Kluyveromyces lactis: one gene and its partners. The protein of the gene in region 2 binds, or shares a complex with, the protein of the main gene of each other region. Links are inferred from orthologs where the notes say so. Each region holds a gene or a part of one and is shown on either strand. Other genes may lie near its edges. The genes, in order: KGD1, KGD2 and KGD4.

Region 1 (11,338 bases), on a different chromosome or scaffold from region 2:
TTTGCTGTTTCTAATAGCGTGAATGAGTGTATAGGTTAGTTCTATTGGTGTTTCTTGTGGATAGTTTGAGCTAAAGTAAGTTATGCTCGAAGGCCAAAAAACTAAATCATTCTGTGAAAATCATATTTACATATATATATATATATATATAAATCATATCATGGATACATGATGTTTGCCTCCTAAAACAATGGCAGTACATATTCAATATAAAACAATTCTGGGTAATTTCTGTAACGGAAAGAAAAAAAAATACGCTCGAGCTAGACTTCTGTGAAAAATCTCGGAATTACAGCCATCCCGATGACGCGAGAAGTAATAGCAGTGCAGCTCGTTCTGAGAAAAGCAAGTTAACTTATTATATAATCAACAGAAATTTCAGAAGCTTTCTTTTCGACGTATTACCCGGATTCATACTTCCATCATGTTTGTTTTGTTTTTGTTTTTGTTTGTACTGTGCGGGGTTTTAACTCAATCCAAGCTCTCGCTCAACAGTTATAGCGCCTGTTCTAAGCAAAAATGTATAACATGATTCTATGGTAAACAAACAGACTGCGCATAGTGCAGCTGAATTTACTTCCTAAAAGGAACCTGTTCCCAGCATCTACAAGGGTTATAAGAGAACAGTAAACGAAAAGGAAAGGATTAAGGGGGACGGGATACACTGTTGTTGTTTCAGGAATACCTCCGTGCGCGTTTTTTTGCTTGTTTGTCTTGCTGGGTTTTGAAGTATGGAAGTATGTTTACCGTCTGGATATTTTCATTAAATAGTACGTAAAGAGAATATCATGTACATATATATATATATATATATATATATATATGCATAATAATTGACTGTAAATGGCTCCAATCATATGTTTCAGTCATGTTTGATAGTATTTTCAAGAAGACGTTGACGTTGGCGTTGGCTTTGCAATTGACGTTTATTCAAAACGGAATACGCCGGATACAGTTTGAATTTCTTGCGTAATCCCCATTCTAGCAATGCGTATGGAATCAGTAGCATTAACCATTTCACTACCGTGGCCATCGTTCCCCGGTATATATCCACCGGGTCAATGCTGCCGTTTTCGATATCATTCACCGTTTCTCTTGCGTAATCAGCTGGTGACATCGGTTGATTCTTCTCTGACATCTTCTTACGGGTTTCAACGGCTTTGATACCCTCCGGGAAGTTGAAGATACTACCTTCTGGTAATGTCTTCTTATCAGCGATGTCTGTGGCTACACCTCCTGTAATCATGTTAATGACACGTACGCCCAAAGGACCTAATTCTCCGTGTAACACCCGAGCGTATTGATGAATCGCAGCCTTTGATGCGCTGTACACTGCTCCAAACGGAAATGGACATATCCCAGCTAATGACCCAGTGAAGACGATTGTCCCCTTAGCGTTTATGATTAATGGTGCGAATTCACGACATGAGTTGATGGGTCCATAAACGTTTACTCTGAATGTATTATCGATGATTTCTTCGCTCACGTCTATTGCGGGCAGAGAGCAGCTTTGGCCAGCGTTATTATATAATAGATGTAGCTTCTGATCTGGTAATTCTTGCTCCAACTTCAACTTCAACTGGGTGATATCATTCTGATTCGAAACATCAAGTTTCCTAGGGATGCATCTATCTCCAAACTCGGCTCTTAATTCCTCCATAGGATGTGTTCTTCTGGCACATGCGTACACGTACCACCCTCTCCTCAATAACTCCTTTGTGACTTCATAACCAATCCCTGATGATGCACCAGTGACCAAAGCATATTTTGTCTCACTCATATTGATATGTTTTTGTGCTCTCTATGAATTAGATTATCTTTTACGGTATTCGTAAGGGACTATGCTTAGAGTAGAATGTCGATAAGCTTTGGTGACTTCACTTTTGCTAGTCATCATTAATCCTGTGTTTTGAAGTTTCCAATTTTTATTTGATGATTTTTTTTTTTTTTGCTTGTTATAGTGTATTTCCCTTTTATTTCCTTAAAGAAATGTAATATGAATGGAATTTTTTATACTAATATAATATTACATATTTTTATAAAAATAATAATAAATAAATATCATATTACGCTTACATATGTAAAATGAAATCAAAACTTTCTAACTCCGCAAATTTGAACAAGGAACAAGCAAAGCTAGATCAAGAACTCATATCCTTCAGTGTTTCTGAGATTTCTTAAAATGATGAAGGAAGAATGAATTATGATGAATGATAATTTTCATTGTTTGTTCTATTGATGATTTGATCATTAATTGCTTCATGGAAGTCTGTTTGAAAAATACACATTGGTATTTTTATATATATATATATATAAATATTCTTCATGATAAATTCATAAACGTAGTAGACAGTAGTTAAAGAAATATATTTGAGTTTTGGTTCTTCGAATGCAGAAGCGCAAAAGAATTTTTTCTGAATATGATAAAGCATAACAGTACCGTATCAATAAAAAGTTCTCATGAAGCCATAGCCTTCCCCATAAGGATGACTTTTCATTTTTTTTGTGTTTCGATGAGCTTTTTATGAATAAAAGATAGCAGCCAATAATTTGAAGAGGAAAGAATAAACGCGCAGTAACTAACCTATTGGCCAAAGACTTCCTTCAAGAAAGCTTCTTCTTCGGCGTTGTGCAATGCCTTGGAACCCGCAGCAACGGAACCACTTGGGTTTCTACCAGCATATCTAATAATAGCATCCTTGTATTTGTCAGTTTCCTTCAAGGTAGTTTGCAATCTTGGTTGAGCATATGCCCATCCACCCATGTTTAATGGTTCTTCTTGACACCAAACGATGTCTTCCAAGTTTGGATAGGTGTTTAAGGCATCACGCAATTGAGCGTATGGGAATGGATGTAGTTGTTCAATCTTAATGAATGCAGTGTTCTTGTCTTGGATAGTTTCACGTTTTTTATGCAAAGCAGTGTAAACTTGACCTGACAATAAAACAACTCGCTTAATCTCTTCCTTTGGTGCAATGCTCTTACCTAATTCGACATCTTCTATGATCCATTGGAAGCCACCTTCGGTGAATTCGTTCAAGTTGGATCTAGCCAATGGGTGACGTAACAATTGCTTAGAGAAGAACAATGCCAGTGGCTTACGGAATTGTCTATGTTGTTGTCTTCTTAGGATGTGGAATAAGTTGGCTGGAGTGGTTGGATAAACAATTTGGAAGTTACAATCTTGATGTTGTCTTTGCAACTTTTCTTCACTTGGGAAATATCTTGGATCTTCGTTACCTAGTTGCAAGAATCTCTCCAATCTACCTGAAGAATGCTCTGGACCTTGACCATCGTAACCGTGAGGCAAGGACAAGACTAACCCGGATCTTTGCTTCCATTTCACTTCACCAGCGGCAATGAATTGATCGATGATGACTTGAGCAGTGTTGGCGAAATCACCGAATTGAGCTTCCCAAACAACGAAATAATCTGGGTTAGTCAAAGAGTAACCATACTCGAAACCCATACAACCGTATTCAGACAACGAAGAATTACAGATGGTGAAGTTAGCTTGTTTTTCAGACAAGTGCTTTAATGGAGTGTAAGTATTCTCGGATTTTTGGTCGTGAAGAACAGCATGTCTTTGTGAAAAGGTACCTCTTTCAACATCTTCACCAGAAACTCTGACGTGATTACCTTCCAACACTAAGGAACCGAAAGCTAATGCTTCACCGGTAGACCAGTCAATACCTTCACCGGATTCAACTGCTTTACCTCTGTTGGTTAAAATTCTCTTCAAGTTCTTATGAACTTCGAAGTTCTCTGGCCATGAGGAGATGGTCTTACCAATGTTCTTCAAAGTATCAGCATCAACGACGGTTGGTTCGTGGGATAAGATTTCAGTAGCTAAAGCCTTTGGAGACTTGAAACCTTCCCAAGCAGCAGTTAACCATTCTCTTGAAGTTGGCTTATAGTCCTTTGCCTTCTCATATGCTTCCTCGAATAGACCCCAAACCCATTTCTTATGTTCATCGATATCTTGCTTGGTGAAGGAACCTTCAGATACCAACTTTTCCGTGTAAACGTCAATGACAGATTTTTGCTTAGAAATCTTTTGGTACATTAATGGTTGTGTGAAGGAAGGTTGGTCAGTTTCATTATGACCATGCTTTCTCCATCCGACGACGTCAATAATGGCATCAGTGTGGAAAGTAGCTCTCCATTCAGCAGCCAAGTTGAAAATGAATGTAAGAGCTTCAACATCGTTGGCATTTACATGGAAGATAGGAGCATCAATGGTTTTACCCAAATCAGATGGGTATAGAGTTGATCTAGCGAATCTTGGATCAGTAGTGAAACCGATTTGGTTGTTTGTGATAACGTGAATGGTACCACCAGTAGAGTATGCTGGCAAATGTAGGAAACCCATGGTTTCGTAAACGATACCTTGAGCAGCGAAAGCAGCATCACCGTGCAATAGGACGCTGATGGCCTTGTCATACTTGCCAATATCGTTCTTAGAGAACTGGATGGCTCTAGTTCTACCCAAAACAACAGGATCAGCGGCTTCCAAATGAGATGGGTTAGCAACCAAAGACAAGTTAACGTATTTACCAGAGGTAGTTGGTCTTTGGTAATTCATACCCAAATGATATTTCACATCACCGGAACCCTCGTATTCTTCTGGAGCAACAGAACCCTTAAATTCTGAGAAGATGGATTCGTTTGGTTTACGCACCACATTAGACAAAACGTTTAATCTACCACGATGAGCCATACCCAAGACAACATCTTCAACACCTAATTCAACGGAACGGTCAATCAAGGTCTTGATACCAGGAACAACACCTTCTAAACCTTCCAAACCGAATCTCTTATCGTTAGGGAATTTAGTAGATAAGAAAGTTTCAAAAGAAGTAGCCCAAGTCAGTCTATCCAAAATTTGTCTCTTTTGGTCTACGGTATAATTATAAGGTTGTGGGATTTCAATTCTTTCTCTTAACCATTCACATTGTTCTTTTGAAGGGATATGAATGTATTCGATACCGTATCCAGAACAGTACAATTTTTCCAAAGCAGCAATAATTTCTCTTAGTTTCATGGTCTTTCTACCATCACGAGAGAAACGTGGCAAGATACCGGGTCCCAATGTGATATCTCTATCTAGATCCTTTTCTGTGAATCCATAGTGTTCCAAAGTCAACTCACGAGGTAGAGGTTTACTCTTATCATCACCAAATGAAATTTGTAACGGATCAATATGAGCCTTCTGGTGACCTCTTACTTGGTAAGCACGGCACAAAAGTTGCACTTTTAAATGTGTTGTGATGTCTTGGTCAACGCCACTTAACGAACCCCCTATCAATATATCTTGAGGCACACCAGGACCCGTTGGTATTGGAATTAATGTTGGTGGGGCGGTGAAGGCAGAAGAGGCTGGAATATTCAGATTACCCATGTTCTTGAAATAAGCATCCCAAGAGACATGAACTGAAGTGGGATCCTTTTGCCAAGCTTCGTACATCTCATCGATATATGATGCATTGGTGGTGGACAGGAAGTTGTCCGTCGAAGATGCACCACTAGCCAATCCACGACTGAAAACAGCCAAGGAAGTCGGTTTGCTTACAGCACCGATCCTGGTGAATTTAGAAGCATGTAACAAACGCTGAGATGACCTTATAGTTCTCAACATTGTTCAAAAGACAGTTATTTTTTGTTCTTTTCTGTATAACGAAAGAAGCAAAACACAAACCTTAAATCAATAGATGGTCGCTTTGTTCTGTACGTGTGTTGTAAAATTGATATATCCAGTTATCAAGTAAAAAAATCCCTTGCAATTCACAAAATGTTGAACTTTTCAACGATGATTAACTTTCAATGAATCTTTCTCGTTTATATCTTCTTTTGTTTTTATTTTTTTATGGCTCTTCTTTGTGAATTTTCAATCCAAAATTACTCACAAAAAAAGGGAACAAAAGAAGAAGTACTTGATAGTAGTAGAGTCAGAAACTAAGACGACAACAGGCAAAAACTTCGATTCAAAATTGACTGTTTTTGTTAACGTTCCTAATTAATTGAAAAAAAGAGATATCCTACTTGCGAACACGAAGTTGAAATAAAGCTTCTTCAATCTTTTTTTTCTTGTCGGAAGATCTTGAAAAAATACCCCCGATTTTTTTAATTTCCCGTTCTCTTTCACTTAAATAAGCAGTGAAATTAATGTATAAATCCTGTATCTTTTATACTTTTTAGCCGATAAAAAACAGAAATACCAACAAAAAAACTAAATTAGAGTAAGCAGAACTCAAACAGTGCCAGAGAGTCGAGTATTGCGTTTACTAGACGAGTTTAATTTAACAGGCAAATAATAAACTCCGTTATTATTTTCCTTCTGTCTCCTATCTTAATTGTATTAAGGCAGGCCTCTTGAATCTTGAAAATAATAAATACCTCTTCTATAAAAATAGTAAGAACCAGTATTTATATAGGAAATAGTAGATGCACTATATATATTCACGATTTTGTGTGAAAAAAAAGCACTCATTCAACTATTAAATGGACCACCAATATCTCTCTCGTGCCATTTCCCCGGTTTTGATCCTCACTCCCATTTTCTTTCTTTCTTCGAATCGGTACTGATACCTTTAATGCCTGTAGCTCTCTAGCAGCTTTATGTGGTTTTTGCATAAGGTTTCCTTGCTACATGGTGGAACAAACAAGTGTTTTAGTGCCGCTTACTCAGTTTTCAACAATACGAGAATGCCAGATAGTAAAAGCTGTAGGGCATGGTCTGCGAGTAGGGGTCCGGTGACCCGTTTTCGGATTCGAAGACGGGAAACTACCAGATTCATTTTGTGGGACAGCCCGGAATTCCGGGTAACGTTTCAACATTTTCTTTTCAGTATTCCATATTCAGATAAGTACTATGCAACTCCGTGCCAGACTGGCTGATGGGTTTTAAAGTGTAAGCAAAGGCTGAGTGCGGTTGACGGTATGTGGTGTACGGACATTCGTCAACCCAACTCGGTCGCGAGAAATTCTTTGCTGTCACTTGACCATTGCTTGATTATCACTTGGTTCAAGATGTTTCAATCAATCTTCGTTCGATACTTCCAATACTACTACTCTCAAGGTTAAGCTACACTAGACTACAGGTTTTTGAGGCTCAACTCATCTTCGGAAATTTTATAGTTGAAAACTCCAGGCAATTGTTATGATTAAGAAGGAAAAGAATCAGTGATTTAACATCAAAAAGAATTGAGGAAACGTAAAGTGGCTCTATATTGAATCGAGCTCTAGCAACGTTTCCCCCTATCGTATTCTTCCGATACTTGATTATCGGAAGATGGCAAAGAGAAAGACAAAGTACATAATCTGAATCTATCTACTTATATAGAACATCCACCTCTGAGGGGAGAACGTCTTCCTCGCTAGTGTACAGTAACGTGTCAAAAGTATCCGAAATTTTGGTTCGCTTATTCTTCTTCTTCGATCAGACCCTTTTCAGAGACATAGATACCATCCAAGAATTTACGAATATCCTTGTTTCTAACACGACAGATTTGTTGGATGTCAGCAGCGTTTTGGGAAACGTTTTCAACAGAGTTACCAGACAAGACGATTTCGTCCTTTTGGTTGGTAGAGAAGTCAACAGAAACACCTTCTCTGACTGGAACTTCTCTGACCTTCTTGTCACCCAAGAAGTTTCTGATTTCGATGAACTTAGCACCGTCCTTTTCAATGACGTTAACGTTGATTGGGAAATGCGCGTAAACGTATCTCAACTTGTACTTGTAACCCTTGGTGACACCAGTGATCAAGTTAGAAATCAAAGACTTAACAGTTCTCAAAGCAGCAACGTGCTTTCTGTCACCGTTGTGGACGGTGATCTTAATTTGTCTGTTAGAGACCTTGGTGAAGGTAACATCGATGTGCTTCAAGTTCTTAGTCAAGACACCTCTTGGTCCAGTAACCTTGATTATTCTGGATCTGATTTGAACGGTAACACCTTCTGGGACATCTAGGACTTGGTCAGTTTGAATGTACTTCATTTTTGGTTATGTGTCGTTTGCTTTGGTTGGTTGAGCAAAGTTATACAGTAGAATTGAACAGTACCGTACTACTGCTGTGAAAGTTGTAAGTTGAAAAATATGGCTTTCCGTATTCTGATTATATATCACCAGAGTCTGGACAGCTTTTTTTCATTTGAAAATTTTTTCAAAAGGGAAATTTAATTTGCGTCGTAATTCAAAACAGAAGTAAAGAAAACAGTCCCAATATGTTGTGTGAGACGTGTGGGTGTTATGAAGGTGCATATATTTGGTGTTTTACGATATTATGTATTTGCATGTCGTCAGTTATTGATTCAAATACTTTGAGCTATATACATATCGTCTTTAAGTACTCTGTATATATCGTCAGGTTTTTCAAAAGAATTTATTAAAGGTAATACGTGGAATTCACTACATTTTATAAGCAGTCTGTTTCTTTCCCCTATTATGTGTTCGTTTTTAACGTAATTTTACAATCTTGCCAGTAGCGTTTTTGGGGGTTCATTACTCATTCTTCGAGAACCAGTCAATCGCAAATTCTTCCAAGGCTTCTGCGTCATTGAAGACCCAGGAACCCTCTTCATTGTAAAGCTTAGCGTTATTGAACATGGTCTCCAAGTCCGACTTTACTTCGTTGATAGATTGGTATTGTTTCTTGTTCAACTTCTTTGTTATCGTCTCTAATGCTACTGGCTTCTCAATAACCTTGTAGTAGTCCGGATACTCCTTCCTTGAAGGTAATCTTTCGAAAATGAAAGTTCTTGAATGCTCATCCGTTGGATCAGTTAACTCTCTTAGTAAAGCCAATAGTGCCTCGACTTTATCTTTTAAAGGTGGTTCTTCTTTGCGTTTGGTGGGAGCGTCATCTTTTTTCATGTTAAGCTTGAGTTTGATCTTCTTTTTTAAAGGTCCTGCATCTTGTTTTACCGGTTTCGCTTCTTTCTCTTCACCCAATTCCGACTCCTCTTCAGGAGTAGTCGAAGGAGTAGCGACAACCTTTCTCCTAGAACGAGTTCTACCATTTTCACGAGCAGGAGTTACGGCTTGCTCAGCAGATATTACAGTATTGGATGTTGAGGAAGATTCTTCAGGCTCAACGCTATTTTCTAGACTTTCCAATCCTAATTGTTTTCTTTGACGTTTTTCACGAGCAGCTCTTTGACGTTCAATGGTTTCATCTAAGTCCTCATCATTATCGACAGCTTGTAACCATTGTTCCTCTGTTAAACCATCATCGTAATAGACTCTCTTTCTTTCTCTGATTCTGCCAATAGCAGCAGGCTCAACATTCAAATGGTCAGTGATATCTTCAGTGAATACTGAAGGTAACTCTTCCTTGGTGATCAACCTCGGCAGTGGCTTTCTCAAACCTAAATCGATGGCTTCTCTCTTCTCATTAGCTACACGTTCTTCATCAATCTTTTTGAACAGCACTTTCTCGTCTTCAGTACGTGCGAGAATTTCATTTAATTCTTCGTCGTCTAATTCACCAGAATATTCATCGTCTTTGTTAGTATCACCTTCCAATAATCTACGCAAAAATTCTTCTTGTTCTTCAGCAGTAGATTTATTGTCAAATTTACCGGCTTGAATAACTTTACCATCAATATCCAATTTTTGCATTGCTCTCTCTAGAATAACTTCTTCGACGGAATCGGTTGTTATTAATCTCAAAATACGAACTTCGTTCTTCTGCCCAATTCTGTGAGCTCTATCTTGGGCTTGTAAATCCTGATGAGGATTCCAATCAGTATCGAAAATAATGACCGTATCAGCAGTCTGCAAATTTAGACCTAACCCACCAGCTCTGGTAGAAAGTAAAAAGCAGAAGTACTCAGAATCGGGTGCATTAAACAGTTTTAACATTCCAGTTCTATCCTCTGCTTTGGTACCACCATCCAATCTCATATATTTAAGGTCTCGCATCCTTAAGAAATCTTCCATGATATCCATAACTTGAGTCATCTGGAAAAACATCAATACTCTATGACCTGACGCTTTAAATTTTGGAAGAACTCGGTCTAGAAGTTCAAATTTACCACTAACACGATACAAAATGGAGCTGTTCTCTCTCGTTGGGTTGATAACATTTTCAACCTCATCGAAAACGAATGGATGATTACATATCTTCCTTAACTGCATGACCTTGTTGTTCAAACCTTTGATACCAGCCTTGGTTGCACCTTCTGTTCCTGCACCAATAAAGAAAGCATTATGTTTTAACATTTGTTCGTATAGTTGCTGCTGGAGACTTGATAGCTTACATTTCACAACCTTCTCAACTTTGTCAGGTAAATCTTTTTCGACTTCCTTCTTCAAACGACGTAACAAAAATGGACGTAAAACTTTGTGCAATCTTCTAATAACTAGAAGCGTTTCTTCTTCTGTCATTTCTAGCTTTTCTTGAGTACCTGTGTTCGCGAATGGTGTATTAAACCATTCGTCAAATGTTTTTGAGGAATTAAAGATCTTAGGTAAAACAAAATTTAATAGAGCCCACAATTCTGGTAGATTATTTTGCAATGGAGTACCCGTTAAAATTAGCCTATTTTTTGTTTTGTAGTAATGTGTCAACGTGTAAGATAGTTTTGATTGAGCGTTTTTCATTCTATGACCTTCATCGATAATCATATGAGCCCAATCGTGTTTGGCCAACAGTGGACGATCCTTTATAATGTACTCATAAGTAGTTAGAACCACGTCGAAATTTCCCATTTTGATTGTATGTTGCAAAGCCTTACGTTGGTTTGGGTTCCCTTTGTACACAATGGTTCTTAGAGAAGGTGCCCATTTTTCGAATTCTATAGTCCAGTTCGTGATGGTGGATAAAGGGACAATCACCAAAAATGGTTGCCTCTCGTTCTTTATTTCATAAAGATAACTGATCAACGAGATGGATTGAATTGTTTTACCTAGACCCATTTCATCTGCGAGAATACCGTTAAGATGATTATTGTATAGAGACACCATCCACTCTAAACCCTTTAGTTGATACTCTTTCAACGTGCCTCCAACCAATATGCTTGGCTGTTTGTCTACTGTTTCCTTAATTCTGTGGGAAACCTCGTAATAATCAATTTTTTCTCTTTCTTCATCCGTGATTGGAGGAATTTCTTCACCCCTTTTGATGCGTACCTCATTTTGCTGCACTCTAACCGCTTGAGCAAGAGAATCCAAGAAAGAATTAGTTTGTTTCAATAGATGTGTAATTCTTGTATCTTTGGTTTGGTCTAACAATTTCAAATATGCTTCTTCATCATTGGACTTCAAGGCTGCTAAACGTTGCTTGGCAGTTCTTTCCATTCTTCTCTGCTCATCTTTCTCCAAATGACCATGCAAGT
Region 2 (10,371 bases):
TCATCTGTGAAATTAACAGGGACCAACTTCAAAGCAAAACGTGAAGCATACAACTGTAAATCGTCATATGTAATATTATCACTATGCGCCTTTCTTTGTAATAAGTTATTATATTCTTCGGAGGGAAGAACAGTGAGATCAAAGGCTTTTGCCCCATTATAAATATCCGTCTTTGTTAATTCGTGCTTTTGTTGATTCTCGAGAAGCCTTTTGTACTCATCGTTTGAAAGTCTTACAAATCCTAATAACTTTCCTGATTCTAATACCACCTCTTTATTTGAATTCTCTTTCTTGATAACATTTTCGAAATATAGCTTGCTTGCTGCGACTTTCGATCTTGGTGACATTGAAGAAACTTCAACCTCTTTTTTCAGTTTTTCAATAAGAGCATCGTATGATTCTTCACTAAGAACAACAAGACCCAATTTCGCTGCAAGTTTTTCAATATCAATTTTGGTGAGAGAAGAGAGTTTTTTGGCCTCGTTTTGTAAATTCTCATATTCCTTGTCACCCAGGAGCTTGTACCCGTATTTTGGCGCGGTCGCTACAACTGATTCTTCAGATGGATTATCAACTTGGGTCTTCAAGAAAGCCAATTCCTCACGGTCAATAACAGTTAGCGCTAATGGTTCGACTAGCTGTTTTACTTTCTCTATCGAAGGAACTGTTAACTCCTTATAGTGTTTTTCAGGTAGAGGAATCAAATCGAACTTTGAACACAGACCTATCACCTCCTGTTTGGAAATTGAATCAACATTTGAGGAATTGAGACTTTTGTAGGTCTCAGCATCAAGTACCACATGACCTTTTTCTGTTATTTGCTTTTGTAGGATGTGCAGGGAAGGATTGGACAAAGAATCATAATCAGCTTCCGGAACAACTACAAGTCCGAGACTTCTCGCACTTCTCTGTAAACCCTGCTCGTCAGTAACTGCTGACATTTGTAACTTATTATGTTCTTCAATCGGTAGTAAAACTTGTTTGTGTTGCTGCGCTTTTTCTTGCAAGAATTCTAAAGATGGACTAGTCAAGTTAAGTTGAAGTTCATTGAACTTTTTCGTGGGAACTACGCTATACCCATTGATGTCGCAAACCTCCTTTGATCTTTTGATTGAAGGGTTATTGATTGCGAGCTGTAGCTCTTCGTACTCGACAGTTGGTAGAACCTTGCATTCAATTCTAGCAGCCAGTTGTTCCACTTCTTTCACCGTAGGTTCGTTTGTTTTTCTTTGCAAATTGTCATATTTCTGTTGATCGATCAAACGTTTGCCAATATTGCTTGCCCTATTTGATAAGTGTGCAATAGAAGGATTTTCATATGAGGTCTTGAGCTCTTCAATAGATTCAATTGGTAACAGGGCGAGTCCAAGAGTTCCAGCCATGTTTTCTAAATATTCTCTAGATGGGTGCTCTAATTTCGATTTCAAGCCCTCCAGTTCATCGAATGGTAACATAGTTTGATGATGAAGTTTAGCCTTCTCCTTCAAAAACGTCAATGAGGGAGAGTCTTTCATAGCCATTAGATTTTCATATTCGTTCAGCTGTACGGGAACCATTTTATAGGTTGAGAGGTGTCTGGATAAATCTTTTAGTTGTGGATTGTTTGATTTGTTTATCAAATCTTCGTAAGACTTACTATCTAAGACCACATGACCATGTTCCTTGACTTTCTTAATCAATTCATCCTCTGAAAGTAGTGCAACTTTCGAGCTTTCCTGTAATTTCTGGTATGCTTCAGCAGCAACAGGCTTTAGATTGTATTTGTCACAGAGTTTAAAAGTTTCATCTTTAGTTACTTTATCTATAACGGGAGCCATTAATTTTGAGTATCCTTCTTTTGAAACTGCAACGTAACCCAATGTTTCCAATCTGTTAGTTAATTGGTCGATGTCAACATTGTCGATTGACTTTTGTTTAAAGGAATTGAAATCTGGCGCAGTGACTGGAACAAATCCAAAATTCTTAATAGATTCGAGTAACATTGTTTTATCACTGCCCTTATGAACTAACTTTTCATACTCTTTCTGTTCGATAGTAACCATACCGATATCCTTTGCCTTTTCAATGATGAAGTTTCTTGATGGTTCATTTACGGTCTTATTCAAATAATCGTAGTCACTCTGCGATACAATCAAGTGGCCAGTTACAGCTGCCAAGTGCTGCATTTCTTGGATGGTCGGGTCTGATGACTTTCTCAAAAGCTCTGAGTGGTCAGTCTTTAGGATTATATCATAGTTTTTCTCTGCTGCCTTTTCCGATAAAAAGTTCAAAGTTGGAGATTCTAGCTGTTCCTTCAACTTATGAAGGTCCTCCTGTTTGATAATAGTATAATTGAGAGCTAGTAGTTTATCTTTCAGGTGTTCAAAGGGAGGATTTTGAGCTAAGTTTCTTAGGTTCTCTATTTCAGCTTGACTGAGCAAGGTGTAATCTAAAGCTTTGGCAGCTTTCTTTAGATGATCCAGTGGAGGAGTATTAGCTAGTTCTGTTAATTTGTGATACTCAGTGGTGCGTATAGGTGTTATGGACTTTCTTTCCGCCAACCACAGCAATAAAGACTCCATATCGTCACTAGAAAGCGATGATTGAATAGCTTCAATTGAAGGATGAGTGTTTCCATGCATTAGTCTGGTGTGCTCCTCATTTGGAAGAAGAACATGATCTTTTGACTTAGCACATTCTTTCAACCTATTAATATCTGGACTTTCAGCTTTGCATTTCAGATCAATTAGATCCTTATCAGGTATTACCGAGAGTTTGTGATTTGCAGCAATTTTTTCCACTTTATCGATAGAAGGATTCAGTAGCTCATGGTAATCTTTGTTAGATATTAAAATATGGTCGTGAGTGGTAGCTAACTGTTGGACGTCTTCGATACTTGGTTCAGTGAGTTGGGACAATTTACTCTTCGTTAGTACAGTTAATCCTTTTGCATCTGCTTTGGCCTGCAAATATTCTTCAGACGGGCTTTCCAATTTAGCTTTTATATCAGTCAATTGTGACTGTTTCAATACCTGAAGTCCTCTGGACTGGGCATGGTTTGTTAATGCCTCAACATCCGGTTTCCTCAAATTTTCATACTCATCAATGTCGATAATGGTTTTTTGAAGCTTGTGAGCCTTACTCTCGAGATATGACAGGGACGGACTTTCGGAAGCATGAAGCAAATTCTCATAGTCCTTTTTACTTAACGCAGTGTAGTCTTTACTTTCTAATGATTTTTTCAAAGTTTCCATCGATGGATCATTCAATGATTGGTACTCTTCTTCTTTGATAGCAGTGAGGTTGAGCCTCTTCAGATTCGAAACTAGATAATCCTCAGTGGGATGCTTAAAAATCTCTTCTATATCCACTTTCTCATTATTTGTTAAACTAGAAGTATCAAAATACCCTAGCGTAGAAAGTCTGGAAAGAATATGCTTTGATAATGTGTCATCTGAGATTGTGCTAGGAGTTTTCGATTTTTTTAATTCATCTAGTTCAGTAATTGGGACAAGTGCGAAATTGTGCGTTTTTGCGTATCTTTCTATATCTTCATAGTCAAGTTCATTAATAAAGTCTTCATCATGTTCAAAGGGGCCCTCCGAAATGGGGTCTCTCACATAGTCCATAGTTTCCGAAACAAAACTTTCAGCGTCAATATCACTGATATCAGCATTACTTGACTTGCCAGGCGATGGTATTACATTCCAGTCACCTGATTCATTATCTGTAACTTCGTAATTGAAGCTGGAAGTATTGGACTTTTGAGGAGTAGAAGCAGATCCTATAAAAGATAAACCGCCTTTATTCTTACCTCTGGGAGACTTTGAAGGTAATGGAGAGTTCATGGTGCTGTCAGCCTTGACTCTGTTGAGCTTCTGCTTTAATCTTACAATTAACTGATTAGCATGATTTAAGTTGGCTTTTAAGGTCTGATTTTCTAGATTTGAATCAATCGGTTTCTTCAAGGAACTATCATCGGAACCCTCCATACCTCCTCCGATCAGTTTTACGGCAGGTGATGGTTTTTGTTCTGATGTAGCAATCGCAGTATCGTCTTTGCCCTGTGCAGAGGTGCCTTTCCTCTCTTCTATTTCTTTTGTTAATGAAGTGACCTTCTCACTCAACATGTTAACTTTATTATGCAGCTGATCATTCTCATTGTTCAACTCTTCCACATGTCTTTTCAGCTCCTTAATTTCATTCGAATGAACTTTTTTACTAGAAGCCAATTCGGACTTTAATCCCATACGTTCCAAAGAACTTTCCTCCAGTTCAGTTTTCATATCCTTAGAAAGCTCAATCTGCCTTTCAAGTTCACTTTTATTTTTATTGAAGTTTTCAGTCAACTCTTGGAACTCCTTAGATAAACTTTGCAATTTCATTTCTTGTCGCCAATTAGTGTCCTTTAAAGAATCCTCATTTTTGGTCATAGATTCATGCTTCACTGTTAACCGCTCAAGATTTATTTTCAACTTTTCATAGTCGGCCTGCAAAGAGGATAATTTGGCGGACTTACGTTCGTTCTGTGCTTGTAAGCGTCTGCATTCGACGAGTAAGTTCTCGCTTAAACCAACAACAAAGTTCACATCCTCGCCTGAATTGGCATTTATGACACCTGCATGAGCAGAGCTTCCTGCAAAAACAGGTAACGAAGCCCTATTATCTCTCTTACTCAAGACATTGGAAAATGGTAAACTGGGGTCCTCAGAATTAACATGAGAAAGAGCTTCTTGATGTTTTTGTTGTTCCTGCAACCTGTTCAATTTAAACTTCAATTCATCTCGGCTGGACCGTTTATCAGACTGCGAAGATCCCTTTCCTGACATATTTCCTGGGATTTTACTGTCGCTTCTGGGGCGCACTTCTCCAAATTGCCCGAAATCACTCAATTGTTGCCGTTCTGAATAAAAACCGAAGGACAGTGCTAAAGTTTAAGGACTTCAGTGCTATATGCTTCAAAGATTACTGAGCGTAGATTCCAATTTCCTTTTCGATTATGTTTTGTTTGTTTTGTTTATAGAATCGTTCGATCTGAAAGAAACTGACAATTTTTGATGAGCTGTTTTGACTGCATAACGTTACCCGGATTTCTCAATAAACAATGCAGCTATTGACTCGCCTTGTCTTGCTTTGATAGAGCCTTGCTCACATTCGGTATATGTTTTGAATAGGCAGTCAGACCAATGTATTCATTGAGAGTCTATTATGTTCCTTTGACGCCATGTATTTGGGCTTCTATTGAAAAAAAAATGCTGATAATTATACACATGGATGCTAACATACTATGGAGACAATGATGGCGACTGCAGTTGGGATAATGATTGTGAGAGCAACCGTGATTGAGATTGAGATTGGCTTTGTGACAACAAGGGGTTCTCAGTATCATTTCTGAATACAATCCCGTTTAAATCTGCCCAATTTTTGATAAAACTATCGTCGATTAGTTCAGTGAATGAGTTCAAGGATACTAGCCATTCTTTCAACTGTTCGTAACGAATAGGCTCAAAAGTGTATATTTGTTCCATTAATAATGCAGATTCATCACGATTTTGTACTATAAGGTCCGTGAGGAATTGCTTGAGTTGAATTGATCTATCCTCATCTGAGGACCCCGGGAATTTGGATTCCAATGTCTCCCATACTTGCAACATCTGAACTTTGTTCTTACAAGGTTTTAATCCGATCACCTTGAAAGACCTTCGTAGCTTCGCGGTGTTCGGAGATGCATTTTGTGTTGTGAGTAGGGCAGGCTGAAGTTGTGAATCTAGAGAATCTGTGGCTGAAACTGGGGTTTTCAATTTTTGAGATTGAGATTTCCGTAGAGAGGGGAACTGGCCAAGATGAGTTTGAGGAGCATCATGAACCTCCATAATGGAATAGCTACCTCTTTCATCTTCGCTATCTATAACAATTTCGTTATTATCATCATGCAACATAGAAGTAGTTAAAGTAGACAAACTTTCTTGCTCTTGCGTATCTACCTCCCCCTTAACACTGGCGAAAACGTCATTAGAGTCCCTATTGCTATCAACATATATCTTGACGACATTAGCAGGTTTTGAAGCTTGTTGCTGATTCTGTTGTTGTTGGTCTTGAAAGGTAGTAGTTCTCGTTGCGGGCACCTGAATAGTCCCGGTTCTTTGGGCCTTCATTGGAGATACGATGGAGGACACTACATCGTAAGACGTTTGTGATATGTTTATCAGTTGATCGTTTATGTTTGCCCTGGAATATTCCCTTTTCGTTTTCTCACCAGTGGGTAAAGTCTTGGAATCTGGTGGTAAATAGCATGGTATATCGTAATCGACGTCTGCCTTGTTCTTGTCTTGAATCATGAAACTCAGCTCTTCAAAGCTAATGATAGACCCGCTATCGCATGAATCGGCTATCTGAGACGGTACATCCGTCTCAGATGAAGGCACGTCTATGCTAATTGGTAGTTCCTGTTCGATGACAGAGCTTGGGTTCGAGATCGGTTTGAACCTCAATCCATCTTCCGTTGAGCACCGGTTATTACTGCTTTCTCCTTCGACAAGTTGAGACAACGTATACACAGGCGCATTGTTATCCAACGTTAAACTTGGAAGAATAGTCTCAGACTCTCCATCTGAGCACTGAGAAGATATCTGCTTTTCTGGGGATAACTGAGACGCTTTCCAAAGATTGTGCTGTTCATCAGCACCGTATACGTATTGCTGTACCGAGTTTAGCTCGCTTCTAGAAACTTTTGGTAATTTTTCTCGTAGGAGGCCAACGATATGTTGCCATTCTGATTCATTAAAGGGCGCAAATTGTGTCGGATGAGAATCCTGTAAACTTTCCGCATCTGCAGATGCCTCCGAGTCCAATTTCGACACCAATTTTTTAACCTTGGCAGATTTACCCGAAAGAATCGAAATCATCTTCTGAGCCCTATCCTTCACTCTATTTGATTCCCAATTATCTGTATTGAACTGGGTAATACTCTTGATTCTTTTCTGCAATCGTGCTGTCGGCTGCTTGACCTTTGAGGATTTTATCACTTTCTTGACTGGCACTTTTTTGGAAGACACCAGTGGAATATCCGCTTGATCTTGTGTTTCCAGCGCAAATCTTGACAGAACATTGCGGAAGGTGTGCACCACAGTCTCCTGGTGGTTCAGTTCATCTATGGCACCTTGGACTTGAGTAGAGATCAGAATATCATCATCACCTTCCTCCGGTGGAATCTCAGTCTCCTGCTCCTCATCTTGATCCTCATCATCGCTGAACATAGTAGGAACCTGAGTCATGCAAATATCACCCTGTTCCACTGAATCTTCAGACAAATGATCGTTCACCATCAGCAAATGCCTACCAGCTTTTTCCAACTCATCATGCATCAGGAAAGAGAGGTTTGCTATTGAATTCTCTGTCTATATCTTACAAGTATACCAGTCACCTGGTATATCAGCAGTCCTTTCCAATTGACGCACCGCAAGGCCACTCATAAACATACGTTGGTACAGTAACACACTAACACGTACTATATATATAGAGAGAGAGAGAAATAGAGAGAAATAGAGTTTGGGATACATAATGATAAATGCCAGCATGATTCCAAATCAAGAATAGTAAATACAATTATAGAGATGAACCTCAAATTGCATAGAAGCAGTGAGAAATCGAGAAAACGCGATATTTTTTCATGCATTGCACGAAATAAAACAGGGTTAGTCGGGGTAATACGAATGTAATACGAACGTACTCTACACGTGACTTGTTATTACTTATTCCTTATTCCCGGAACTCTTCTTACTTTTTATGGCCTCAGTTCGACTCCCGGAGCGACCCCTTCGGTGCAATTAAATCCAATCCTCCCGTCCTTCATCACTCACTCTTAACGATCCGGACCGGATTATTTAGTCTTTCTTTGTGCTCTCTGCTCTTCTGTTCTGGTCGGCGCCGAGTCTCCGTCATATCACTTCATACGAGCTGGTATTCCGGTAATTGGCTCCGCCAAAGGGCCCTATTTTCCAAGTTTTTTGAGTAAGCACATTTTAATTACCTACTGTATGCACTTTCGCCATTATTATATATATATTATATATATAATAATGATAATAAAGTTCAATTCTTTGAAAGGTTGCCTTTAAACATTGAATGTTTAACCCCAGGATTTATAAAACGGTCCGTTTTTGAGCTAATTTTGACTACAGTTTGAATTAAATAGAAAGACAGATACTTTTTTCTGATTCCTGTTGAGAAAATAAGGAACCTTTTTGAATTCGTACCAAATTTTTCCTTCTTTCTTTCTTTTGAATCATAATCATCATAAATTATCACATTTGATAATTTTGTTTCTAAACCAAATATAGAGCAAAGGTATTCAAGTCAGTTGAATCCATTTACTCTTCAGAAATAACATTCGGAAATATACTCAGGTCTCGGAGTGTATCTACAAACACAGATTATAATATAATATATTATCCTTTTTCACTTTTGGTTTTGTCCCATTCCAACAATGTTAAGGAGTTCTACTAGAGTTGCAGTTAAATCTGCTTTGCACAAGCCTTTGGTTCGTTGTGCTACTGTTTCACAATTAGAAGCGGTTAGAAGTTTTAGTTCAAGCCGAATTTCTTCCGATATCTCTTCAAGAAATGGATCTTTTAACGCCGTGAGTCGTCGTTCTTCTGGTCCATTCCAATTCCGTTGTTCCCCTTCTCAGTTGAACACTAGATTCATGGCAGTTCGTCATGCTACTTCTGTGCCGGTTCCTCCTATGGCTGAATCGTTGACTGAAGGTTCTTTGAAGGAATACACTAAGAAAGTCGGAGATTTCATCGAAAAGGACGAACTGTTGGCTACTATCGAAACCGATAAGATCGACGTCGAAGTCATTTCTCCTATCTCCGGTACCATTGCGAAGTTGAACTTCTCTCCAGATGATACTGTTACCGTTGGTGAAGAGATTGCTCAAATTGAGCCAGGTGAAGCTCCTGCTGGCGGTGCTGCCGCTTCAGAGTCCTCTTCCGCTTCTGCACCTGCTGCTGAAGAACAGCAACAACAGGCTGCTCCTAAGAAGGAAGAGCAACCAGCCACTCCAAAGAAGGAAGAAAAGGCCGCTGCTCCAGCTCCAAAGAAGGAGGAAAAACCAGCCGCTGCTGCTCCAAAGAAGACTGAAGTTGACTCATCTGCTACTGAATCCTCTACCCCATCTTTCACTCAATTCTCCCGTAACGAACATAAGGTCAAGATGAACCGTATGAGAATGAGAATCGCTGAAAGATTAAAGGAATCTCAAAACACTGCTGCTTCTTTGACCACTTTCAACGAAGTTGACATGTCCGCTGTCTTGGAAATGAGAAAATTATACAAAGATGAAATCATCAAGACTAAGAACGTTAAATTCGGTTTCATGGGTCTTTTCTCTAAGGCTTGTACTTTGGCCGCTAAGGATATTCCAGCTGTAAATGGTGCTATCTCCGGAGATCAAATCCTTTACCGTGATTACACCGATATCTCTATCGCTGTCGCTACTCCAAAGGGTTTGGTTACCCCAGTGGTTCGTAACGCTGAATCATTGTCTGTTTTAGAAATTGAACAAGAAATTGTCAGATTGGGTAAGAAGGCCAGAGATGGTAAGTTGACTTTGGAAGATATGGCTGGTGGTACTTTCACCATCTCTAACGGTGGTGTCTTCGGTTCATTGTACGGTACCCCAATCATTAACATGCCACAAACGGCTGTTTTAGGTTTGCACGGTGTTAAGGAAAGACCTGTCACTGTTAATGGTCAAATCGTCTCTAGACCAATGATGTACTTGGCTTTGACTTATGACCATAGGTTGTTGGATGGTAGAGAGGCTGTTACTTTCTTGAGAACTGTCAAGGAATTGATTGAAGATCCAAGAAAGATGCTTTTGGCTTAAATTTGATTTAAAGAGTTCTCCATCTTTATAGATATTGTTCTTCTTTTTTTTTTGGCATCACAGAAACTCCCGCTCTGCACTCATGCAAATGTATCCATTCACCTTCTGCAATATATGTGAGGGAGAGAGAAGTATTCTTTATCTAACAATGGTTACATATATGCGTATTCCTCAGCTCTATGACTGTTTCCAGATATTGGCAAACGGACTTGAAGAAAAAAAGAAGAAAAGTAGGCTAATCAACAATACAAGACAAAAGAAAACAACAAAAGGATATCTAAAAAAAAAATCGGGCTTTCTGATTTGCAAGATATGTGAAGTATAATGCATTTATACTATCAAGCTGATACCAATTCCAGTCATGATATTCTAAACAAACATTATACTCATACTTTGATTTCAAGCCGATTCTGAATTACGACGACTTATTCATGATTTATTATGTAAAACACCAACTATTTTCCCCACATTCTCCAGTGTATTGTTCATATAGTCATTTT
Region 3 (9,402 bases), about 400 kb from region 2:
GTATCTGGGTTATACATAGACTTAGGAGGTGGTAGTACTCAACTATCTTGGATCAAATGTGTTAATGGGGAAATTACTCAATCATCTACCCCGGTTTCATTACCATTTGGGGCCGGTGCTCTGACAAGAAGAATGAAATTCGAAAGCAAGCACGTCTTACTTCAGGAAATTGTGGATGCTTACAAGTCTGCAGTCACAAAGATTGGCATCCCCAAGGAGATGTACGATGAAGCACAGTTAAACGGCGGGTTCGATTTATATACATGCGGTGGTGGCTTGCGAGGGATGGGTCATCTTCTATTATCGCAGATCAAAGAATATCCTATTCAAACAATTATAAATGGATTTTCATGCAGTTTTAGCGAGTTCTCAAACATGTGTGACTACTTGTTTTTGAAGGAGAGAGTTCCAGGTGAATCGGCAAGTAAGATCTTTAAAGTCTCTGATAGAAGAGCCAAACAATTACCAGCTGTAGGCCTACTCATGGCAGCAGCTTCCGAGTCATTGCCCAAGATCAAAAACGTTCATTTCAGTGAAGGTGGTGTCAGAGAAGGTACTTTATACTCGATTCTTCCAAGGGAGATTAGAGCACAGGATCCACTTGTCATTGCAACCAGACCCTATGCTCCTTTGCTTGTTCACAAATATTTGGAACTATTAAGGACTGCTATACCTACTAAAGAGATTCCAAAGATAGTATACGAAAGAATAGCTCCTGCTCTTTGTAACCTCGCTTTCGTACACGCTTCATATCCAAAGGAACTACAACCGACCGCAGCACTACGTGTAGGTACATCTGGTATCATTGCTGGGTGTCATGGGCTATCTCACAGATCAAGAGCTTTGGTGGGAATAGCATTGTGCAATAGATGGGGTGGAGACATACCAGAACCTGAAGAAGTGTACAAAAAGCTATTGGAAGACATTGCACTAAGAGATGGTGACAAACTAGAACGTGAAAGGACAATATGGTGGACAAAATACATTGGCACTATCATGTATGTCATTTGTGGTGTTCACCCTGGTGGTAACATTGGAGATGGTGTCTTCCATTTCAGCACTTCGGAGAAAGATGAATCGGCTATTGATTTACAGATGCTATCTATAGATGAGAACCTTTCAGGAAACGGCAAGCCAACTCCAACAGGGAACCCGAACAAGAGGATATTCGAAGTTGTTGTCAAGATTAACAGAAACGATCTAAAGACTATTGCTTCTGTGAGGCAAAGAATCATCACGTTGCAAAAGAAAATAAGGAAATTATCCCGTGGTTCCAGCGACAAGGTTAAGATCAATGTAGAATTCTATTGAACACTCAATTGCGATCTCAGTATGTATAGGCTTTATATAGAATGCTCTTTATTTTACTTCCCTCAGCCTCCCTTCCTGTTGAAGATTTAATATCTAATTTACCCTGTTTGTAACAAGCCTCAGACCCTAAAATGTGATATAAATATTCGTGAAAGCGCCATATAGGTAGTGTAGTGCGCTGCTGTGTACTACTATCCGATGGTCGTATCCTCTGTTGATCACTCTGTTTTAGCTGGAAAAATATAGCGTTACCCGCCCTTTAACATTTTACCTTATTAGAACGATTTTGCCACTATCGAATATAAGAGAGACATGCAATTCATAATTAATACATAAGGAGTTCACTTCACGACAGGTTACAATCAACACTAAAGAGTCACCAAGGGTATTTTCTGCGAATCCAATCCATTGAAACACTTTCCAACATGAATCACGATCCATTTGCCTGGGGAAGGCCATCTGACGAACACTATGGCGCGTACAATCATGCCATTGCCCAAGCGTCAAATAATCCAAAGATGAATACTCAGAACCCTATTATTACCGGTACTTCTGTCATCAGTATTAAGTATAATAACGGTGTTATTGTTGCAGCTGATAATCTAGGTGCTTACGGTTCGTTATTACGTTTCACAAACGAGGAGAGATTGATCAAAGTGGGTCCCAACACGGTTGTTGGTGTATCCGGTGACATTTCCGATATGCAATACATTCAACATCTATTAGACGAGATGGAAATTGAAAACAATTACGATAGCGCATATGCGGATAATGAGGAGCAATTGAAACCAAGCTTCGTTTTTGAATATCTATCATCTGTGATGTACCAACGTAGATCCAAGTTAGATCCTTTATGGAATGCGATAATTGTAGGGGGCACAGAAGATGGAAAGCCATTTTTAAGATACGTTAACCTATTAGGTGTCACATACTCTTCGCCAACGTTGGCTACAGGGTTCGGTGCCCACTTGGCATTGCCCCTTTTAAGAAAGCTAGTAGACACCGAAAAGGACGTGGAAAAAGTGAATCTAGATGTTGCTAAGAAAGCTATCCTAGAGGCAATGAAAATATTATACTACCGTGATGCCCGTAGTTCACGTAAGTTTTCATTGGCTATAATCGACAATGAACTGGGGCTCAATATCGAAAAGGACCTACAAGTAGAGAATATGTCTTGGGAATTCGCCAAAGACATCAGAGGATATGGTACCCAAAAGGTATAGGTTTCGGATTTACTTCGTCTTGTCTTCATGCTTTCACTTATCCACGCAGATAATACTTGCACCAAAATACACAATCTCATGCCAACAAAGGAAGAGCAACACATGGTGATCCTGCTCTGGTAATATATACTTTCTTTGTCAATAACGGGAAGACCTCACCTCTTCTGTGTTTTCTCTATAAATGTATACTATGCGTAAATTCTGAATTAGGGCACATATTCACACATAATACACCAAGAAAGAAACTGATCAAAACGGCGTCAATGCTGTCAACTACTGGACAGCCAGCTCAGTCATTATGTCACTAAGATATTTCGAGTGAAGGGACCTGTATATATGAAGGTTATCGTTGGAGTTACCTTTCTTTATTCTTTTACAGTTCCAATTCTTTTAGAAAACAAGTTTAATTCTATATAAACAAGTAGTAACCTAATTGATTAATGAATCATCGACAAAGGAAAGACTAGAGGACTTATAGCGCTAGCCCAGTATACCTATATTCCATACTCTCAAATACAACTGGCTTGTAGGGTAGGCATCTATACGCCAGGAAACAGATTTTTACCGATATCTTGCGATATATTTCCATTCTGGTTTCGAAAGTGAAAAGATGTCTACGTATCCTGGATGCTCATTTGAACTAACTATCTTAGGAAGCTGTGGGGGCCCCCTAAACAATCATACACAGAGTTTCTTGATGAAACGCGCAGGATCGAGTGAATCAGGATATATTTGCATTGATGCGGGGTCCGGACTAGCTGAGATCGCAGATATGATCTACGCACAGGAATACGGTAACACGTTCTTAGTCAAGAGTCTATACAAATCTAGTGCCGAAGACGTTTCACGATTTCTTGCACAAGGGGTACGGTGTACCATTGGGTTTGGTACACCAAGTGAAGTGTTCCTGAAGAAAAGCGCAGAGGCCCACAGCAGCATTATGAGGACCGCTTGTGAAATATTCTCCGAAGTTAGGGAATATTATATCACACATCCGCACCTCGATCATATGATGGGTCTAATACTCAATGCCCCATTAATTTACACCAAACTGGGATCCTATAAGAACGTTTATGGCACAGAACATACCATACAAGCGATAAAAGAACATATATTCAATGATAAGATTTGGCCCGATTTCACCACAGACAACACGATCAGATTAGAAGCACTAGAACCTTCGATTCGCAGGAATACCTATTCAATACAGGGCATTGATTGCATACCGTTTACGTTGAATCATGGTCAAACAATAGATACCAAAGAACCTGTACTGAGCACAGCGTTTCTATTCCATGAGCACCAAACTGATGGACATGTTCTGATTTGTGGTGACACTGAATCAGATCTTGTCTCCAAGACAGACTCTTTACTCAACATATGGACATATCTAGCAGAGAATGTACCCATTAATAACTTGAAGGCCATCGTACTTGAGTGTTCTAACACAGACGAAGTGGATACAAGCAAATTATACGGGCACTTGTGTCCTCAGCATATTATATGGGAATTGAAAAGGCTAATAGAGGTATACGATGTGAAGCCAGAGAATTTTAGCTTGCATGTGATTCTAACACATGTGAAGGATATCGATTCAGAAGAGGATCCCAAAATCACTGTGTTGAAACAGGTAAATAAAAGGTGCAAACAGCAAGGATTAGACAAATATAATATCAGTTTTTCCATGGCGATCCAAGGTTTTACAATGATTCTTTGATATACAGATTAGCGTGATAATTTGAAAAAAATTCATCCTTATCCCATTGCCTGGGCAGGACCAATCACATAGACAAAAGAATGGCAAGGATGTTTGGCACCAAAAGGTTATAGATGTAATAATTAATAGGTAAAAGTAGAATTGTTGTATTAATCATAATAGATAATGGTGTTTTCTAAAAAAAAAAGAATTGTATTCGAAATGGATCGTTTGCTGTTCAATGAGTCGTAGATATTGCAGAACCAAGTGAGTTCGTACAACTATGATAAATAAATGTATTGGTATTATGTTTCTTTAACGATTATGGAAAAATGAGAGGCTGAAAAAAAGGAGATCCTATCATATACCACCTCCGTTAATGATTTCTATCTCTTGTTCGTCCATAGGTCTCAGTTTGAATCTTGGGGGTAATTGTGATATGGATCCAACTTCATTTTCTTCCAAAGGTCTGTTTTTAAACACATATTTTGGTGAATTACCAGCAGCTTTAGTAGAGGAACCCTTACCGGAAGCACTCTTATTTGAGTTCACGTATGGAACCACCTTGAATGGAAGCCATTTCTTTGCGACTTCTTCGACCGTAGAACAACCGGGAGCACCAGGCCTTAGTGAGTCAACGGTACAAGGATGTAAACCAGCATCCGCAGCAGAATGGGTCACTACAGGGTGAGGGCCGCCAACAAACTTGATTGAAGGAACATATTTGACTGCTTTAGCCAAGTTAAGAGTGGAAGCACGCATCTTTACAGGCTTTATAATCTCTTTATTCAAAGTTTCAACACCAGATCCGCGAGCCTTTTTCAATATCTGGGTCACTGATCTCGTTAATCTATCAATGAACGTCACGGTGGATTAATCACTTCTTACAGCAAGTGAATGGTCTAAATAACGATCTTGAATTGCAATACCTTCGGGAATCAAAATCGGATGTATCACAAAATGAGGAAACCTTAACACAAAAGTGGGAAAAAAACCTGGTTACTATTCTTACTTCGACTGTTCAATCAACGATTCACAAGTAACCAACAATTTTATCTGTTAATTGGCAATCTACTCAGTTACAGGAACCTTATAAACCGAGAGCCTTAATAAAACTGATAGAGAGTATGTATATATATATATACATCAAGACCGTTAAAGGTTGGCAAGCATATTGGGATACTTCGAGGAATTAATATATTACCCGGCCATTGTATCGGCCCCGATTGGGAACGCGTAGAGGACGACCGGAAATCCGATTACGTGAGCCACGTGACCACGAGTGTCACGTGACAGAGTGTCACGTCTGTCCCAACCGTTATTCATCTGGATGGTCTAGTGACGCCATGCACTCGATCAAGTTGTTTAAAGTTACAAATATGTTATATGAGGGTGGGGAAAAGGAGCGCCTATTCCCTGCTTACTACATCGTCCCATATTTTGGAACAAATGCTGAGGAAGAGCTTCTTATCCATTTGAGGGTCCGTTGAATCGAAATGGAATTGGAAATTTTCCATCATCAGTTGTATATCGCCTTCTATGACGACGTTGTTGCTATGGTCTTCGATTTCAATGGCATCAAAGAATTCTCTCTTGGTGGATTTAGGTTGTACGCTTAATGGAGCAATTCTTGTAGTTTCATCCTTGAAAACGTCCCTTGTCACTGAATTAGTGGCTCTGATAGGGTTCGACACGAATTGTTCGAAACTACGTTGGGTGTGAGGTGGTGCGGTGGTTGTAGGGTAAGCTGTCATTGGCGCATATTGATGTCTCATCAGGGGACGCGGCACGATGGGTGACGAAGTTTGAAACATCGGAATTTGGCCCGCTAAGTTTCTGGTCAAAGACCGGCCTTTATAAATGACTCTTGGTTTCGACACTCTGCTGGTTCTTTGTGAGAATGTATGTGAACTTGGAATTGGATGTCTTGTTACCATCGGTGGAGCTGACCTTATATTGGGTAATGATCCATTAGGTGTATTTTGCTTTGATTTTAACGTAAGTGGTTTTGGTATGTTATTTCTTTTCAATGATTTGGATTGACTCTTGGAAGTGTTGATTGAAGTCTCGGTACCAGGAGTGGTGGTACCATCTATCGAATTACTTGAGGATGATTTGTCAGTTTCCAGGTCTGAGGCTGTAATATTATTATTATTTTTGATGCTGGTACCAGCTTTCTCAGCAAGTTTCGTGTTTTCATCATCTTGTTCTTGTTCTTGGTCTTCATCCTGTTCATGTTCTTTTTCGTGTTCTTTCTCGTCATCTTGCTCTTCGTCTTGCTCGTTTTCTTGCTCATGCTCGTGTTCATGCTCATCCTCATTTATCGTTACAGAATCCAAATTCATACGCCTGATCTGTCTCTTCTGCTGCATCGCAATGTACTTCGATTTGTTAAACGTTTGCAACCGTTCGTCATCCAAATTAGCAGTCGCTATCCCTGGCGAGATACACTGCAATCCAAGCTTCTGGTACTGCGAATCAGAAATTTCTATACTTGGTGGTGAGGGCATTTGATCTGTCATTGGCATGTTTTCTACTACTTATTTCAGCGCTACTGTCCGGATAAAACACTGAGATGCACAGCTGTCTTATCACAGTACTCAAATCTATCCACCGCTAGTGTATCTCTCGTGTTAGTGTGTTTATATATACCACTAAAGTCACAGAAGACACGAAATGTTTATTATTTATCAGACCCTCACTTAATCTTCAACGGCTATATGTACAGTCCAATTGAATACAAAACCTCTCAGAGATAGCAATCCGTAAATATGCAACTTTGCTTTACCTGCCTTACCTACCGTGACTCTGAGAACACTGTTGCCATCCAGTGTTGCTGTCGTTCACGTTCTTTCAAAGCCTTTAACGGAAATGTTTCACATTTTCTATATAAAGGGACTAAAAAGGAAACTACATTGGGAAGACATTATGGAACGAATGCAAACGGATAAAGAAAGGAGAAAAGGAAAATTTGTGTGCTTAAAGTTCTACCACTACTGCTAGGAATCTCAAACTTGACAATTGTAGTTACAGTGCTGTGCTATCGAACCAAACTAGTTTCATAAGCATCGATTGTGTTTACTTTTTTGAGGTTTTAAGGTAAAGATCCAATTAGTTAATTCTATCAACATTATAGAGAATTCGAAAATGTCACAAGGCACATTGTTTGCGAATTTCCGTATTAGAACCTGGTTACCTCGCGCAATTGTGAAAAGCTTGAGTTTGGACGTTAAGATCTTGGAGCCAGAGAGCAACGTAGAGTACTGGTCTAAGTTGTTCCCATTGAAGAAAGTTCCATGTTACGTTGGTTCTGATGGGTTTAAGTTAACGCAACAGCTTGCAATCTTAGTTTACTTGGTCAACTTGAGCGATAACAATGCTGAGATCCAGCGTCTACTAGGTAAGGGCAACAAGGAAAAAGCTGAGGTGTTGCAATGGCTATCTCTTGCCAATACAGACTTGTGCCTAGCTTTTACTCGCGGTGCATTCCCGTTGAACGGCAGAAGCCCTTACAATAAGAAACAAGTGGATGACGCATATGCAGAATTGGACAGACTTGTCCAAAGGTACGAACAACGTTTGAACGACCACAAGTACCTCGTTGGTGACCGTGCGTCCCTTGCAGATTATTTGAGTGCTATTATTTTCACTAGGATCTTCGAGACTTTGTACGGAAAGAAATGGCGTGAAGAACATGCAAAGTTGACGCAATGGTTCACTAATATCACTGAAGATCCATTCGTGTCTTTCTTATGGGAGGGTATTACACTCTGCGACGAACCATTGCCAAACCCACCAACCAAATGATCGCATTGACAAATTTCAAGTTTATACATCTCTTTATATACATGTCTTCTCTATCAGTAACACTTTGTCTATGAGATAAGCTTCAAAGATCGTCAAGCGAGAAGTTACCTCGAACGAATTAGGTACTAGCCGGTCTATCCGGGAAAAGCAGTCCTATAAGAGATAGAAATTCCGGGACTGTAACAGAATGTAAACATGAAGGGGTTTACGCTGTAATAGCAGTGTTCATTTTCCCACCATGTTGCATATTCGGGATGATTACTCATATTATCGAGATTTCTTTCCATATAAAGAGAGATAAAGATGGAGCAACCACTAGTGGAGAAAAGGGAAAATACAAGATCAGCTTGGAAGAAGTCTACAAACGGTATTTGGGAACAGAAACCAACCGGCAAGGACTGTCTGACTGTCTGCCCTTTCTGCTTGAAACTTCCTGTCTGATTGAATACCACTGCAATGATCGTGACATTAATAGTCATCCTAATCGGCTTGTTGCATTACTTCGTCATATACCCATTGGTCTTCAGTCCATTGAGTTCACTACCTGGGCCGAAACATCTGAAGTTGAGCAGTTGGTTCATATTGAACAAGGCTCGTACGGAACAACGTAATGAATATTTACAAAGATTGCATGAGAAGTACGGGGATCTAGTACAGATAGGTCCGAACGAGGTAGCCTTCAATTCCTTCAAGTACGTGAAACAGATTTACATGGGAAATTTCCCTACAAGAGTTCGAAAACAATGGTGTGGGGTTCTATTCTCAGTTTGGTAACTTCAACACGAGGAACATTTTCAGTACCGGTGATACAAAGACCCATATCCAAAAGAAGAAGAACATTTCGAAAATATACTCCAAGAGTAATGTGATACAAAGCGGCGTTTATATCAGCGCCAAAGTTGATAAAGCATGGATTCAGATAGATAAGAATTGGGGAAACCGATGAACGTGTATTCTTTGTTTTTGGCTCTTGCCTTGGATGTCGTATCTGGGTTTGAATATGGGCCACAGTACAGTACGAATTTCATTACGGATCTGGATCATACCCGTGAGGGGAAAGCTCATCGGAACGAGTTATTCCTAGGGTTCCAAGAGAGTAGTAGCATGTGGTTTTATACAACACTGGCCCCAATGCTATGGGACACTGTAGCAAGATGGTATGGGATTGGTGAGAAATCGGCCAAATCTCAACAATGGATATGGGATAAATTTCAGGAGGCATTAAAACCGTTACAGCAGGGAATCATAGGGTCATCTACCAATGATAACACGATAGTATCACCTGTGGGTAACGTACTATCCACGATGTATGATGAGAAAATCGGAAAGGGACCAATCTCTCAAACACAATTCAGAGAGATAGCA

Evidence for each region.
Region 1: KGD2 (region 2) and KGD1 share a complex: the UniProt entries of both Saccharomyces cerevisiae proteins name them as parts of the 2-oxoglutarate dehydrogenase complex. The link is inferred for Kluyveromyces lactis from reciprocal best matches to the Saccharomyces cerevisiae genes KGD2 and KGD1.
Region 3: KGD2 (region 2) and KGD4 share a complex: the UniProt entries of both Saccharomyces cerevisiae proteins name them as parts of the 2-oxoglutarate dehydrogenase complex. The link is inferred for Kluyveromyces lactis from reciprocal best matches to the Saccharomyces cerevisiae genes KGD2 and KGD4.

What each region holds. Positions count from the first base shown.
Region 1 is NC_006042.1:427,148-438,485, forward strand, and holds KGD1 (alpha-ketoglutarate dehydrogenase KGD1), read right to left. Parts: upstream 5,639-11,338; coding exon 2,585-5,638; downstream 1-2,584. Other genes in the region: AYR1 (acylglycerone-phosphate reductase), read right to left, coding at 863-1,780; RPL9B (60S ribosomal protein uL6), read right to left, coding at 7,422-7,997; RSC chromatin remodeling complex ATPase subunit STH1, read right to left, coding at 8,502-11,338. UniProt on the Saccharomyces cerevisiae protein: The 2-oxoglutarate dehydrogenase complex catalyzes the overall conversion of 2-oxoglutarate to succinyl-CoA and CO(2).
Region 2 is NC_006040.1:1,394,350-1,404,720, reverse strand, and holds KGD2 (dihydrolipoyl transsuccinylase), read left to right. Parts: upstream 1-8,464; coding exon 8,465-9,871; downstream 9,872-10,371. Other genes in the region: NUM1 (Num1p), read right to left, coding at 1-4,808; SLX4 (Slx4p), read right to left, coding at 5,265-7,343. UniProt on the Saccharomyces cerevisiae protein: The 2-oxoglutarate dehydrogenase complex catalyzes the overall conversion of 2-oxoglutarate to succinyl-CoA and CO(2).
Region 3 is NC_006040.1:986,108-995,509, forward strand, and holds KGD4 (alpha-ketoglutarate dehydrogenase subunit KGD4), read right to left. Parts: upstream 4,993-9,402; coding exon 4,591-4,992; downstream 1-4,590. Other genes in the region: RTG2 (Rtg2p), read left to right, coding at 1-1,311; PRE4 (proteasome core particle subunit beta 7), read left to right, coding at 1,737-2,534; 3',5'-cyclic-nucleotide phosphodiesterase PDE1, read left to right, coding at 3,145-4,251; DIG1 (Dig1p), read right to left, coding at 5,640-6,758; CAM1 (translation elongation factor EF1B gamma), read left to right, coding at 7,378-8,037; KLLA0_D11638g (uncharacterized protein), read left to right, coding at 8,980-9,402. UniProt on the Saccharomyces cerevisiae protein: Molecular adapter that is necessary to a form a stable 2-oxoglutarate dehydrogenase enzyme complex (OGDC).